Schizosaccharomyces pombe: one gene and its partners. Changing the gene in region 1 together with any one later gene gives a genetic interaction. Each region holds a gene or a part of one and is shown on either strand. Other genes may lie near its edges.

Region 1 (3,841 bases):
GAAAATGTAGGCCCAGCAGAATTGATTAAAAGACGAGCTGAACTGTTGGCTGAAGTTTTTGTATTTGACGAATCTTCAGCACCAGAGATTGAGCCACCTATGGCTTTTGATTACGGATTTAACGTTCATTTTGGAAAAAAATTCTTTGCAAATTATAATTGTACATTTCTAGATGTTGCCATAATTACTATTGGTAATAATGTAATGCTAGGCCCCAATGTATGTTTATATATATATATAGTTACTTTCAAGTCATTCATTCAAAAAATAAATATACTAATGGTGTCTTTCCAGGTTCAACTATGTACAGCAACACATCCCTTGGATTTTAAAGCAAGGAACTCCGGAATTGAATTTGGTTTACCAATTAACGTATGCGTTAGTCCAGTTATTGAAACATCTTACAACTAACAAACAAAATTTTATCAAGATTCAGGACAATGTTTGGATTGGTATGGGAGTTATAGTTCTCCCAGGTGTTACTATCGGGGAAGGCAGTGTAATTGGAGCGGGTGCTGTTGTTACAAAAGACATCCCACCTAATACGTTGGCTGTAGGATCACCTGCCAAACCTATTCGTAAAATTGAAAACGAGTGAACGAGTGTAATTTTTTTTTTTATTATTTCATCTAACGATTAAATGCTCTTTGAACTTCTTAAGTTCACCTGGCTTGGTTCCTAAATTTTTAAAATAGTATAAATAATATTATATTATGTTTGAGCTTTAAATTGTTATATAGAAGACTTAGAATGCTAAAAGAAATCCATTTCTCACTCGCCAAGTAGGATCAGTTTCCTCCTATGACTTGCTAAAGCCCCCACGTGGTACTGCAATCGATTTTAATTCTAATGCTTAGCCAAGTCTAAAATAGTTGAAATTCTTAGTGGGATAAGAACTCTTAACCCCCACGATATATTTGAATGCTAAATAACCTAACCTAAAACCATTTTACACATTTTATTACTAACTTCATTATATTCTTGTAGAGGAACCATCCCATTCACCAGTTCTGAAGTCTCGACAACGAAAATTCATAAAATATGGCGCCTGCAGAACTTAAACGACCTGATTTAATCGTTCCCTACAAAGCTAGAGTCAAAGCAAATGAAGAAGGTAAAGTAGAAAGCACTTTCAAATTGAACCCAATCGTGAGTTACGCTGATTTAATCGCTCAAGCTTTAGTTCATTGTGGAATATTTTAAATCCTTTCTTTCGTCAAATAATTTATTAAGTTTGCTAACCCTATTATAGTTGGCTTGAGTTTGGTAAGCACAGCCACGTGTATGGCTGCTTTATTTCTTCGTTTCAAGTATGTAAGATATTTTAGGATTTTCATGTTAACGAGAAGATTAATTGCATGGGTTGCTTTTATCCTAACCTTTTCAAATTTACTGAACGCAAATACGTCTCCCAGCTCATCTCCGACTTCAATGGCTTTGTAAGTAATCCTAATTCATTGCATTAATGTAGTTCTATGGATGTTAACATTTGATCAGTATGGGTATCGCGGCTCTTGTGTCAACATATTTACCGGTAAGTTGAATTTTTATATTTACTTTGTCGATTAACTTGTGCAGCAATTTTTAAATACTCCAAACAAAACTTAGTAATTTTTAAGTCAGTGAATTAATAAGAGTATTAAGCTGATTTTTTTCTGGATAATTAAATTTATGCACAATGTAAATATCTAATGGTGAAGAGTTCAGATACATTTCTAACTACCATTTCAATCACGTAGCAGACGCGTAAAAAATTGGCTGTTTGTGTTTTCTCATTGTTAAGCTAGTGAAAATGTAAATTTATTTCTTACATCCTGTTGCTCTTTCATTTTTTCTTCCTAATGTATTTTAGTTGCTTTTTTAAACCCAATGAGAACAAAGGCTTAAAGTAAATATATATAATTTTCACATGTTCAACAGTTTACCGTTAACAAATGCACGGACCTTGATTATGATTAATGGTTGAATGAAAAATATCAACTTTCCTTATCTTTAACTATAATTTAAATGAAGTAGTAGTTCATTAATACTAAAGCAGACTTGCATTGCAAATGCTGAACATTACTAAAAGGTTGGTCTAGTTATAAGGTAACTGAGCGTGCACTTTATTATTTTAACGTGTTGGGTGCGCCCCATTAATAATGAAATACTGCATATGAGTGAATGGTCCTACTATTGTTCCCTGCCCTTCTCCAACAACGCAAATCGGATATCCTAACTCGGTGTAATTCCAAGGCGATATCGATATTTGTGCAACTTTTTTTTAAAGTTATCACAAATAGAAGAGAGGTTGCTATAAAAATGTCAACGACCGCAAGAAGACGTCTCATGCGAGATTTTAAGGTACGGCAGTTGTGGATCCGAGAAGACTTATATTAACCAATTCTTAGAGGATGCAGCAAGATCCTCCTGCTGGAGTTTCAGCTTCCCCTGTCTCTGACAATGTAATGCTTTGGTAAGTGTTTACCTATGTCAATTCATTTTTCTCTTATTGTTATGCAACGTAATGGTGAATATATGTGCTATATATTGAATGCCTTTTTTGCCATATATTTAGGAAGGAGATCGTTTCAAAATTCTTACAAGAAGCGATCTTTTTATGCTTGTTGGTTTCTGGATTGATTGCTTTTGTTTTTTATTATTGATGTTGGACTAACCATTTGAGCAGGAATGCTGTTATCATTGGCCCAGCAGACACTCCATTTGAAGATGGAACTTTTAAGTTGGTTCTTTCTTTTGATGAACAATATCCTAATAAACCTCCTCTTGTAAAATTCGTCTCCACAATGGTATGCTTAGTCATTGTATTTAGACAAGTCTTAAATTAGATTATTTGATTTGTTGTAATTTACTTTTTTCTTGGTTTTTTTTGTTTACTTACTTATTGGCTTTAGTTCCATCCAAATGTGTACGCAAATGGCGAACTTTGCTTGGACATTCTGCAAAACAGGTGGTCTCCAACTTACGATGTGGCAGCAATTCTTACCTCTATTCAAAGGTTTGCTTTTCAGAAATATTACTTAAATTTCTCATAACTAACTTTTAGCTTACTTAATGATCCAAATAATGCGTCCCCTGCAAATGCCGAAGCTGCTCAGCTGCATCGTGAAAACAAGAAGGAGTATGTGCGTCGAGTACGAAAAACTGTAGAAGACTCCTGGGAAAGTTGATTTCAAGACATAGCTGTCTTAATAATCCCTATTTCATTAGAACTTACTCTTCTTTTTCAACCGCCTTTCACATTAAATCTATTTAAGTGCTTCAAAGTTGCCAAAATTGTAACTATAGTAAATCATTAAGATTTTTTTGTTTACATCTACGAATGAATGATTTCTTCCTTATGTTTAGAACTTGTAAACTATATTAATGTGCGACTAATCACATATACAGACATGTACATGCAAAATTTATATTGATCTTATTAAACATAACCTGCCCTAAACCACACAAAAATACCAAACCAAGCGCAAAAACTCCATTTTTTTAAATACATATGGTCAATTTTTTTAAGTAAACCTCAACGGCTGTTCCCAAAATAATGATTAACGACGTTTCAAATTCTTCTTTCTTTTACGATATGACTGGCCAATTTGAACAGGTGAAGCTAATGAGCCATCGTTAACGTCTTCAAAATTAGCACGTCTCTTAGCTCTAGAAGTCAGGTCTAATTTACGATTTGAAAAGTCATCGTCATGGAATTTGCGATCAAGCAATGACCAGTCTTCACCACCATAATCGTGTTTCTTTACACGTTTAGATTTCTTTAAATCTTTCTTCGATAATTTAGGAAGGCGAGTATAATTACTTTCCTCATACTCTATCCTCTCACGCATTTTTTGCA
Region 2 (4,588 bases), on another chromosome or scaffold:
CCTATTTCCCCAAGTAGCACTTGTAACCCGACGACTTAAAGAATTTTCTTCAACGTATTCGCGTTCCTCTGCTGGTACAAAATCACGTTCATGACGGTCGACTTCTAGTGAGGTTTCATCCAGAACAATTTGGCCATTAACAACTCGCGTACGAGGAGTTGCAGAGTAATTGGAGTTGTTATTCAAACCATCAACTTCCATTTTATCTGCTAACTGATCAAGAATAGACTTTGTTGGGTGAGAGAGACTATCTTCGAGAGAAGCAGACTCATCCGTACCCTCTTCTTCCAAACTTCCTACTATTTCTTCTTTCTCTTTCGGTTCGCTTGATTCTAGAAGACTGGCACTCAAAGGCTGTTTGATGGTAGAATCTAAAGACGCTTCTCGACTAGAGCTTGCAGTACTTGCTCCTTGTTTTTTAATCCTCTTTGCTCGTTTTTCCTCAAAAAGCATTTTTTCTAATTCGATAAATCGTTGACTTTTGCGGCCAATTCCAGGATCATCACATAAAGCAGACATTTTGGTTTCACTTATGTTAATGATTTTCTCGTCGGTACCCACGTTTTCCAATATCAATTGACTTTTTCTTTTCAAAGAAGATTCTATGATGTTATTAAATAATGCATTTTAGATTAACCCTTTATTTACGTACCTCTATATGAACGGCGAGACTTTTTTGTAGCCGGAGAATCCGCCTTTCCGTCACTAACAGCACTGAGCTGAGAAAGGGGAATGTTCTCATCAAAAAACAAATCTAATTCCTTCATAAATTGCTGTTCGGCTGAAGAGGATAAATCGGTTTCAGGCGACAAATGCTCAATAGCATTTAACGGCTGCTCAAGAACCGTTGGCTTAGAAATTTTAAAAGTAGGATTTGAATGCAAAAGTTTTTCATTTTGTTTCACTGAATCATCTTTTCTATAGGATGAAGCTGTGGGATTTTCAGTTGCCTCTTTGTGAACTACTGTTTGCACAACCGGACTAGAAATATCAGCATTGGCAGTATCACGAGACAGCTGAGCGGATGTTTCTACTTCGTTTCCTGTGAGGGGTTGATTTTTTTCTTCATGAACAACCTCTTTTTGGTCCGATACTTTCTCTCTACGGGCTGTAAATTTAGGGGCAAACCTTGACATTGATTTTTCTGGTAAAACATTAGTGGAAAGCCCTACTACTTAAAAAAACGTACTTGTAGGTGAGGTTAATATTTGCGAGCTCATTGAGTCTGTTTAGACTGTAACTTCGACTCAATTGCATGAATTTCAAAAATTATGTGGCAGTGCGCATATGTTTGTACAAACATTTGCCTGTTGTCCATGAACCAGTAATATTTTAATAAAGAGGTTATATCCTGGGTATAACTGTACAACGAAACCAAGCAAGCCCGTCTGAATAGATTAATATATATGTGTAAAAAGTTTTATAGTCGCAATGATTGAGTAAGATATAAAATTAACTAAAGGTAGAAATAATCAGGGTCAGCCTCGAACAAACTTAGTTATTATAAAACGCTGGAAATGTAAGCTATAGTTTACAGATAAAGCAAGAAAATACTTTACACTAATATGAATAGTAGAATAAATTCAGCAATTTAGATAACCACCGAAGGAATTGAAGAAGCCATTGTCGTTAGCTAATGTTTATTTTGTCATTGCCAATATTAATTATATTATACAAATTACTACTTCGTAGGCGACTTTAAAGACAGGCATAACTAAGGTAAAGAAACATATTATTATAGCGAGGAATCTATTTGACTCACTAACGAGACATGACTACCATGTACAGATAACCTGAAAAAACTCATTAACCGTAGGAATTGGCTTAGTGAATGTTAATGAGCACATATTTTGATCCTAAGTACTTTATTTTAATTATAAAATAGAAAAGGAATTTTTTTGAAGTGGAATGAGCGTTGTGAATGAATCGAGGAAAAGAAGACGTCTTATTCACAGCGAAAAAGAAACGCGTCGTTTAGACCTCGGAGAAGAAGATGACTTAGAGTTATTTCAAAAGGAAGCAGCTTGGCGAAGATCTAGAGAGTATGAGCATCTCACTGTTTTGGAAAAGAAATTATACGAGTATTGGGAATCTCTAGTTTTGAAACTTGATCATTACGTTGCTGCTGCTCTGGAAAATCATGAACAATCATTTGAAGAACTAGAGAAAATCACTGCTTCTTTATATCAACCTGATGATAATTTACAGACACTAGATTTGTCACTTGCTGAGTTCAGTTTAATCAAAGATGCGCAAAACTATTTGAATAAGTATGCTTCCTATTTTCAAGCCCATGAACCTACTCTACAAAAGTTAGCTAAATTTGGTTCTTTTAAATTAAAAGAAACTCCAAACGTCCATGAATGGATAGACCAACGCCAGGTTCATTTTACAAGTATGATTAATTACCGTACTAGCCAACTTAAGTTGGCACTCCTAAAAAGGAAACTTTCCTTCTTTCGTGAAGCTTTGAATTCAGCTGAATTAGAATGGAAACGGGTGCAGCAAGATCAGCTTACTAGTGCTTCCGAAAGAAGTATTGAAAATATCGCTGATGATATCCCTGCTTCGGAACCAAAAGCAATTCTCGAAAATGGGGAAGGATGTTTAAATGATAATGATAATATTTCAAAACTAAAAAACAATTTTCAATCTCAAGCTGATTTGATGCAAGCAAATATAAATTCCAAATTGGATGAACTTTCTCAAAAATCAACTCGTGCAGCACAATTGTACGTCGACATTATGGGTATAACGGATGAAAGAGTGAGTAGAGAGCCCCATTATTTAGAGCTGAAGGGGGTTCTTTCTTCAAATGAAGAGAAAATCGAATCCATTAATCGGGACCTCTCTTCATTGTTTGAGGACATTCAGTTTTTTATTTCTCAACGGACGAAACGACAGAAGGATATTATTGATTTAAAATTGGCATGTGTAAAAGAGAAACAACAACTTATTAAAACCCTTGAATCATCTTTAACCCAAATTCGTAACGAACGAGACTCTCTAGTGGCGAAACAACAAATGCAATATACTAACAATCTATTTTTTGACGATATGATGCTTTTATTAAGCAACTTGTCAAACGCTCGGGTTGCAATTCTAGAAGGTTATTCAAATCGATTGTGCATATGGGATCGTATTGAAAGGTCTAAGACTGGTGAGATGAATAATGTCCTAGATGAAAAAGAAGAAATTTCTGCGTCTTCAGCTTTGGAAAAACTAATAAAAAATAATAGTTGTTTGGAGGCTGAACTCCCAAGTATGTATGCAGCATTTGATCAATCACAATCTCGTTTGTTGAAGAAATATGAAGAACTTGAAACGAAGGAGAAAAAAGCTTTGGAAATGCATTATGAAAAGGCTCGTGCCACCCAAAAATATTTTGCTGCCATGAAAGCTCGGGACATTCTTATGACAGAGAAGAAAACTCTTAAACTGGCCGAAAATAAAGAACATGATTATATAGGGAAGTTGCAAGAGCGAGAACATGCGCTAACAAAATATGAATCCTCTTTAAAAGCTGAATTGGAAGTTTATAAACAAATAAAGGAAATCTACGGGAAACACTCGGTCGAAGTTTTAACAGAAGATAAGCACTTACAAGTTAAGCAAACAAAACTTACTCAAAAACTTGAAGATCTTATAGAGTCTGTTCAAAAATCTGGGGAAAAGCTTATGATCATGCATCAGAAGTTGTTTCATTTGCAAGAAGAGCATACTATTTTATCCATAAAAGCTTCGTATAATAAGAAAGAGTCTCATCTTATAAACCAGGCATATGAAACACAAGAGGCTCAAGTATACAAAGGAATGTTAAAATGCTCCGTGTGCAACTTTTCTAATTGGAAATCTAAACTCATTCCAAACTGTGGTCATGCCTTTTGTTCTAATTGTATGGAACCTTTTTATGAGCATAAAACAAGTACATGTCCGCAGTGTGAAACACCTTTTTCGGTTTCCGACATTTTGACCATTCATCTTTAATTCTAGATCATCTTTTATATGATTAACGTAATGTTTTTGTTATTTTGGTACATAATATATTTTTTGGCATCAATAGTTATTGAAAGAATAGTCAATCCTATATACATATATATATATATATATATATATTTATTTATTTATTTACATATAAATATGTATGCTTTTTTTAATAAAAAACTAGTAATATCTATCAATTTGATTAACTTATTCCATTAAGCAACTTCGTTCATTCATATGCTAGTTTCGCAAGTCTAGCATCATGACTCACTCTCCATTATCCATGTGCCAAAAATAGAGGGTGTGTATCTGTAGCGACTGTAACTAGCGAAATAGGAAACAATTAATTACTATTAATTATTTTTTTAAATATTGGTAAATTAATTTATATTGGCAGCGGAATTATAATAATTCATCTCATTTTCTATTGATACGCGTGCAATCCCATTGAACAATGAGTCTGGCCGAGGATTGGATTGATCCTAATTCTTCTGAAGATTCAGATATTCAAGAAGATGCGGAATTGGAATACACAGCTGATAATCCCGAAAAGGAGCAAAGAGGTGTATTTTCCTTAGAGAAGGTGCAACTGCAGTTCCCTGTT
Region 3 (5,440 bases), on another chromosome or scaffold:
GCTGACTATTAAAAGAAAATTATAAGCTGACCATAAAGTGATGATGGAAGAATCTATTTTATGAATACCAGAGACATAAAAGTTCGGAGTCTAGTTGTCAAATTGAAGGTAAATGAAGTTCATTTAGGCATTACTGTTGGTTTTTACAATTTTTGAGTAAGTAGTTAACTAATTTTAGCATAAATATTGGCATTTATCTTCCGGTTTTCATTTGCATATAACTCGGTTTGAAGCACACGATATGGGCAAAGTTAAAGATATAGATACAGACTTCGAACCTGGTCTCCAATGTTACCAAGTTGGTTCTGACACTTCGGTTCTTCGTTATGGACTCTCGTTTTGGGATCCAAAATGGGATTATCTATTAGCTGATAATCAACATAAACAGCAATGGCAAGCTCCATCTTATAAACCACTGATATCGGAATTTTTCCCTATGGGCATTGAACATTTTATCGAAACGGCACAATCCATTGTTATGGCTGTAAATCGATCTACTATTGATTAATAAAAAAAGGATCACGATATTATTTTTAAAGAAACACATTTAATGTTTTGGTTTAAGTTGTCTATCGAGAGTTAGATGTTATTTGTTTTCATTTTTATTATGAGCAATATACGTTCTGCAAGCTATGAACATAATAAAGTAGTATTCACCTCAAGGAACTATCATTATCATTATTATTATTAATATTACTCCGACTCATGGTGTAGGATATGGGATTCCCAATCGGCAAGTAGCTCAACATCCAGAAAATATAGTACTATTTTGTTATCGTAAGGTCCTAATTGTAAAAAAGAAATAATAGCACAATACTCGTAGTTGTTTAAAGCAGCATCATTAGCAGAAACACAATTGTTATAACGTTACTAGCCACATAGATCAAAACACATATGCGACAGATAATCAAATCTAAGACTTAAAGGTGGGATAATTTAAAGGCATCCATAATTACACTTCTCCAAATGATTTTGGTTTCATAATGACACCAGCATGTACTATGCATCTGGCAATCTTCAAGTACCCGAGCATATAATAATAGAACAAAACAAAAACAAAAGCATTAGGAATTATCGGCGACTCGTTTACAGGACATTACGGTTGCTATTAGTGATAAACTAATACACATATAAAGAGCGCTTGAACAAGTTGGAATATTCACAATTGAAAGAGGTTGAGATAGTGATATGCACAATACACTAAATTACCATTCTTCATCTTTCATGTCATGTTGTATACGTTTTTGCTTGTGAAAAGTATAATCTTCATCAGCGTCATCGCCAAGAGGGATAGAATTCTTCTTGATCCAGTCACGAACAAAAAGACTAGCTTTCATAAACTTTTTGGAGGCATACTTCTTGAAAAAAGCTTCATGTTGAACAGGCTTTTGTAAATAATTAATCATCTTCTTAACAACGGAAATTAATTGGTACTCCTCATAACCTGAGTAATGCACAAGATTACGATTCCACGGTCCACGTCCAAGCATTTCCCTGGCAAGGTACATAGCGGCAGCACACTGTTGGGAAGGGGGATAAGGTAAAAGTTTATGATCTAAAAGACCAATTTCAACAAGATACTTTGCAACAGTTCTTGTTTGAATATCGTAAAAGTCGGCTTTTGAGATACGACGTAGGAAATTCATAGGATTCGGGTAAGCAAGATTAAACTCTAGGACACGCAAAATGTAGCGCTCGGCTTGAAGAATTTCCTCTTCATCATACCCACCATCCGCCATATATACAAAGTTTTGGACTGAAGGGCACATCACCTCCTCATACTTGCTAGCGATGAACAAGGCAGCAATGCCAACCAATTGTAGTTTGTTAAGAGAGCATACCCGCAATGATAAAAATCTATCAATAATATTTACGGCCAAAAACAATGTTTCAGGAAGCAGTCGGAAACGAGAATGCACTTCAATTAACCAATCGGTAAGTATTCCACGCATCTTCCATGCAAGCTCTTTTTGACGATCCATATAAGTAGGAGAGGGCATAGTTTCAATTTCCAACTCATTCAAATATTCAAAAATATCAACGACATATTCAGAAACCATAAGAGGGTCAGCCCAATCTTCTGCATCCAAGTCATCCCAATCTTGAGATTCGGGACTCTCAACACTATCACGGTGAAGTTTGGGAATATCTTTCGAAACAACGCGTTCATCAACATCTTTCTTTAATTTTTTTGGAATAGTTGCTTGATCCTTATGGAAAGCATCAACCCCATGGGTTGAAACAGAGTGTGATTTCGTTGACAAGTGTTGAGGTAACGAGGGGACTGATGAATTAAAAACAGAAGGTTGGCGACGCTTCTTGGAAGCGGGTTCATCATCTGTTGCAGGGATTATAGACTTTTCCTCGAGAGCACGACGGGTACTGACAGAAGCAGTAGTGTGTCTGACATTTGTGTTTTTACTAGCTAATGGAACACCTTCTTTGTTGTGAAAATTGGAAACATCATCCAACGCATGACGCTTCTTAGGAACGTTGGTGGAAGACACAGTGGCTTTCTTGCCATTTACTAAAGAATTTTCTGAAGAGTGCAAAGAGCTTTTTGCACGGGCAATATGGTTTGAAGGATGATTTTCGTCATTGTTGCCCAAGGTATTTGCCAATAGGTGCTGGCGAGTTAAACGACGGGTAGTCATGAGGAAAAGAAGAAACGAATTCTGTCGGGGATTGAAAGAGAGGAAGGGAAATTAAAATATTAATTGGTTCAGGTAACAGAAATGATAAAAAAGAGGTTTTGAACGAACAACCTTTTTAAAGTGTCTAAAAACGTGAAGGGGTAGTACGGGACGGAGAAGATAAAATAGAATGAGTTATACTTGAAAGTTTATACAAAAATTTTAAGGATAAAATCCAAGCAAAAATGTATGTTTCTCGTACGTATAAAGGAGAAAATAATAGCCTTTGACCGAATCTAGAATTTGGCAAGAGCTTTTGAGACTTCTTTTTTTCAATAAAGTAAGGGGATTGCGATGAAGTCCAACAATGGATATAGGAAACGTAGAACACGAAACTGAACTTTGAAATGAAGCTATATGTAGAATCGATGTACGATTTTCCTATATTAACACCAGAACAAGAAAAGAAGGGTAAATGTTGACTTTAAATGACGTTAGTAAATCTAATGAAAAAACAAAATGGCACAATAAAGGATTATCCTATGAAAAAAAGAAACTTTGATAGGAAAATAAAATGGGTAGTTATTTAAATTTAAACCCCCATGTTTTACAGCACCCACCCCTTAATCCCTTCATAAATTTTAAAAAAATAAAAAAATAAAAAGAAATGAAGTTAGACTTAAAGAGGATTTCATGTTTTCGCTGAACTAGGTGAAGTCGAGGAAAAAGGGTGACTATTGATTGGGAAGAAATTTTCACATCTTCAGAAGGTCGTATTGTATGAAAATGTTCTTACACAACCAAAACTGTATTCCCAGCCTTTAACATTACTTACAATCTGATTAAGCTCTTGTTACAAGCAAGAAGACAAGACGAAAGAACAAGCTTTGCTTAACCGACCAGGTTCCGCTTCTTTTCTCGCCTCTAGCTCTAGACAGTGACTAATAGGGGAAAAGTCCTGTTCTTGCTTATATTTCTATGAGCAGGAATGTCGTTTAAGGGTAAAAACTCGTCAAGATGCTGGTTAAGGACAGCTCGTGGTAGTGGAGTCGACTGAAAGGAGTATCGTAGAGGGCGTAAACACTATGGGGTTGTCGGGGTAACGCAACGTTGGCAAGCTGGGAAACAAATACAAACATCAAATAATATGGTAATTTTCAATGTAAACAATAATATAAATATTAAACAAAAACAAACACGAGTTTCGTAAAAATAAGAAAACGGAGATATGGAACCACAATTTAATGTATATGAGCTACCTCACTATTGTAAAAAAGAGGTAATAATGTTATTGTCTATGAAATTATGCTGGGCACATTATATAAAGTAAAGAACGTATATAATCGAAACATGATTGCTTGGGAAATGCAATTAAAAATTAGTTCTTCAAGTTTTCTTTAATAATTACAATATTTAGTGGGTAGCTTACTCGTAAGCAGAATCTGAGCAGGGTAAACAACAAAGTCATCAAAAAAGGGGAGTTAATAATTAAAAAAATTATATGGAACGATTTAATAATGTAAAATAGAAGTCAAATTTTTGAATTTGAGATATGGTCCGTCTTTATTTACATCAGTCAAATGCTTCAAAGAAAAGTGAGAATGCCAGTACACCCACTTTAGTACTATATTATGGAATTTCAAAGGACCCAAATTCATCATATTGAATCATAGGGAAGGAGCAAACGCGCTTGTAATAAAAGAATCTAAATCAGCCTTTGTAAATTTGATATACTACGTAATGAGTAAGCAAAATGAAAAACGATAACAACTTAAATGTATATACACATCGATAAACTAGCAAATGAATATCGACAAATCCTCAATACACATACCTTGTCTTTATTTTTTGTAAAATCACTGTTGATGTATCTAAACAGAGGTTAGCTATAGTGGAACTAACAGTTTTTAATTGATCTTCATACTTATCATAGAACCTTTGATATAAAGGTAGTACAGTTTTCTTAACTTCTTGCAATAGAAAAGTGGCAACACCAGTTTCAAACCTAACAGATTCACGATGCACTTGAACAACAGATGTAACTTGTTCGTTGAAGTTTCGGAATTTTTCCTTTGTAATCTCTCGTTCTTTAGCAGACATAGTGGATTTGTTTTGAGATTTTGTATAGGTAGAATCGAGCATATTTTGAGAACACTGTCGCCAAACTTCCATATACATGGTTGAGTACTTTTGTGATCGATCTCCTAGCTTTTCTAAATCAACGTCTTGTAAAAATGATGCAATTTTTGACTCAAGACATTTTGCTTCAAAATAGACGCTGATGTTTAAAAGCATTACGCCCATTTTCCATCCAATCGTATCCACTGCCTGGGCAGCTGTTTGAACAGAAGTTAGGTAGGAATCCATACAATCCATAACATAGTTCCTCGTAATGTCTTGAACTGAGCGCGCAGGACTGAGATCAGCATTAATTTCGTGTCTCCAGCCCCAATTACCAATACTTTCAAGCAAATAAGAGGCATTTTCATGCTCAGCAAGTTCATTCAAGAAACTCATAATACCATGAGTCATTTCACTGACTCTATCAGTTGTGAGAGGGACTGTTTTGTTGTTATGGCAAGTGCCATTATACAGCCTCGATATAGAAGAAATCAATATCTTTTCCATTTCACGACCAACACCATTCACAAAACCAAGGAAAGAAGCATCTTCAAAAGGCATAAGATTATTCATGTTTTGGCGTGTAACAACGATACAATCAATTAAAGACAACAAAACAAAATTTTCTGCAGCACCTCTTTTTTCATAAACTCCCTCAAGCTGTCTGGTGGCATTGGTGACAGTGT

What was found. Genes that interact genetically often act in the same process or in processes that back each other up.
Region 2: of rhp6 (region 1) and brl1, changing one suppresses a phenotype caused by changing the other (phenotypic suppression), as found in Schizosaccharomyces pombe (one study listed by BioGRID).
Region 3: mutations in rhp6 (region 1) and cdc13 are lethal when combined (synthetic lethality), as found in Schizosaccharomyces pombe (one study listed by BioGRID).

The regions. Positions count from the first base shown.
Region 1 is NC_003424.3:303,422-307,262, forward strand, and holds rhp6 (ubiquitin-conjugating enzyme E2 2), read left to right. Parts: upstream 1-2,184; 5' UTR 2,185-2,301; coding exon 2,302-2,343; exon of another isoform or gene 2,344-2,390; coding exon 2,391-2,455; exon of another isoform or gene 2,456-2,635; intron 2,636-2,668; coding exon 2,669-2,789; intron 2,790-2,894; coding exon 2,895-2,998; intron 2,999-3,046; coding exon 3,047-3,170; 3' UTR 3,171-3,341; downstream 3,342-3,841. Other genes in the region: SPOM_SPAC18B11.09C (serine O-acetyltransferase activity), read left to right, coding at 1-219, 295-372, 431-598; protein pat10, read left to right, coding at 1,042-1,114, 1,253-1,310, 1,350-1,439, 1,498-1,534, 1,579-1,608; U3 snoRNP-associated protein Lcp5, read right to left, coding at 3,543-3,841.
Region 2 is NC_003421.2:2,238,067-2,242,654, forward strand, and holds brl1 (histone H2B-K119 ubiquitin ligase complex (HULC) subunit, ubiquitin-protein ligase E3 Brl1), read left to right. Parts: upstream 1-1,780; 5' UTR 1,781-1,908; coding exon 1,909-3,987; 3' UTR 3,988-4,088; downstream 4,089-4,588. Other genes in the region: transcription factor TFIIIB complex subunit Bdp1, read right to left, coding at 1-602, 653-1,144, 1,190-1,220; pep3 (ubiquitin-protein ligase E3), read left to right, coding at 4,439-4,588. UniProt on the Schizosaccharomyces pombe protein: E3 ubiquitin-protein ligase which belongs to the histone H2B ubiquitin ligase complex (HULC) which mediates monoubiquitination of histone H2B to form H2BK123ub1.
Region 3 is NC_003423.3:418,337-423,776, reverse strand, and holds cdc13 (G2/M B-type cyclin Cdc13), read right to left. Parts: upstream 3,667-5,440; 5' UTR 3,469-3,666; exon of another isoform or gene 3,342-3,468; intron 3,116-3,341; 5' UTR 2,655-3,115; coding exon 1,206-2,654; 3' UTR 509-1,205; downstream 1-508. Other genes in the region: protein dsh1, read left to right, coding at 39-108, 179-508; exocyst complex subunit Exo70, read right to left, coding at 4,301-4,366, 4,468-4,504, 4,558-5,440.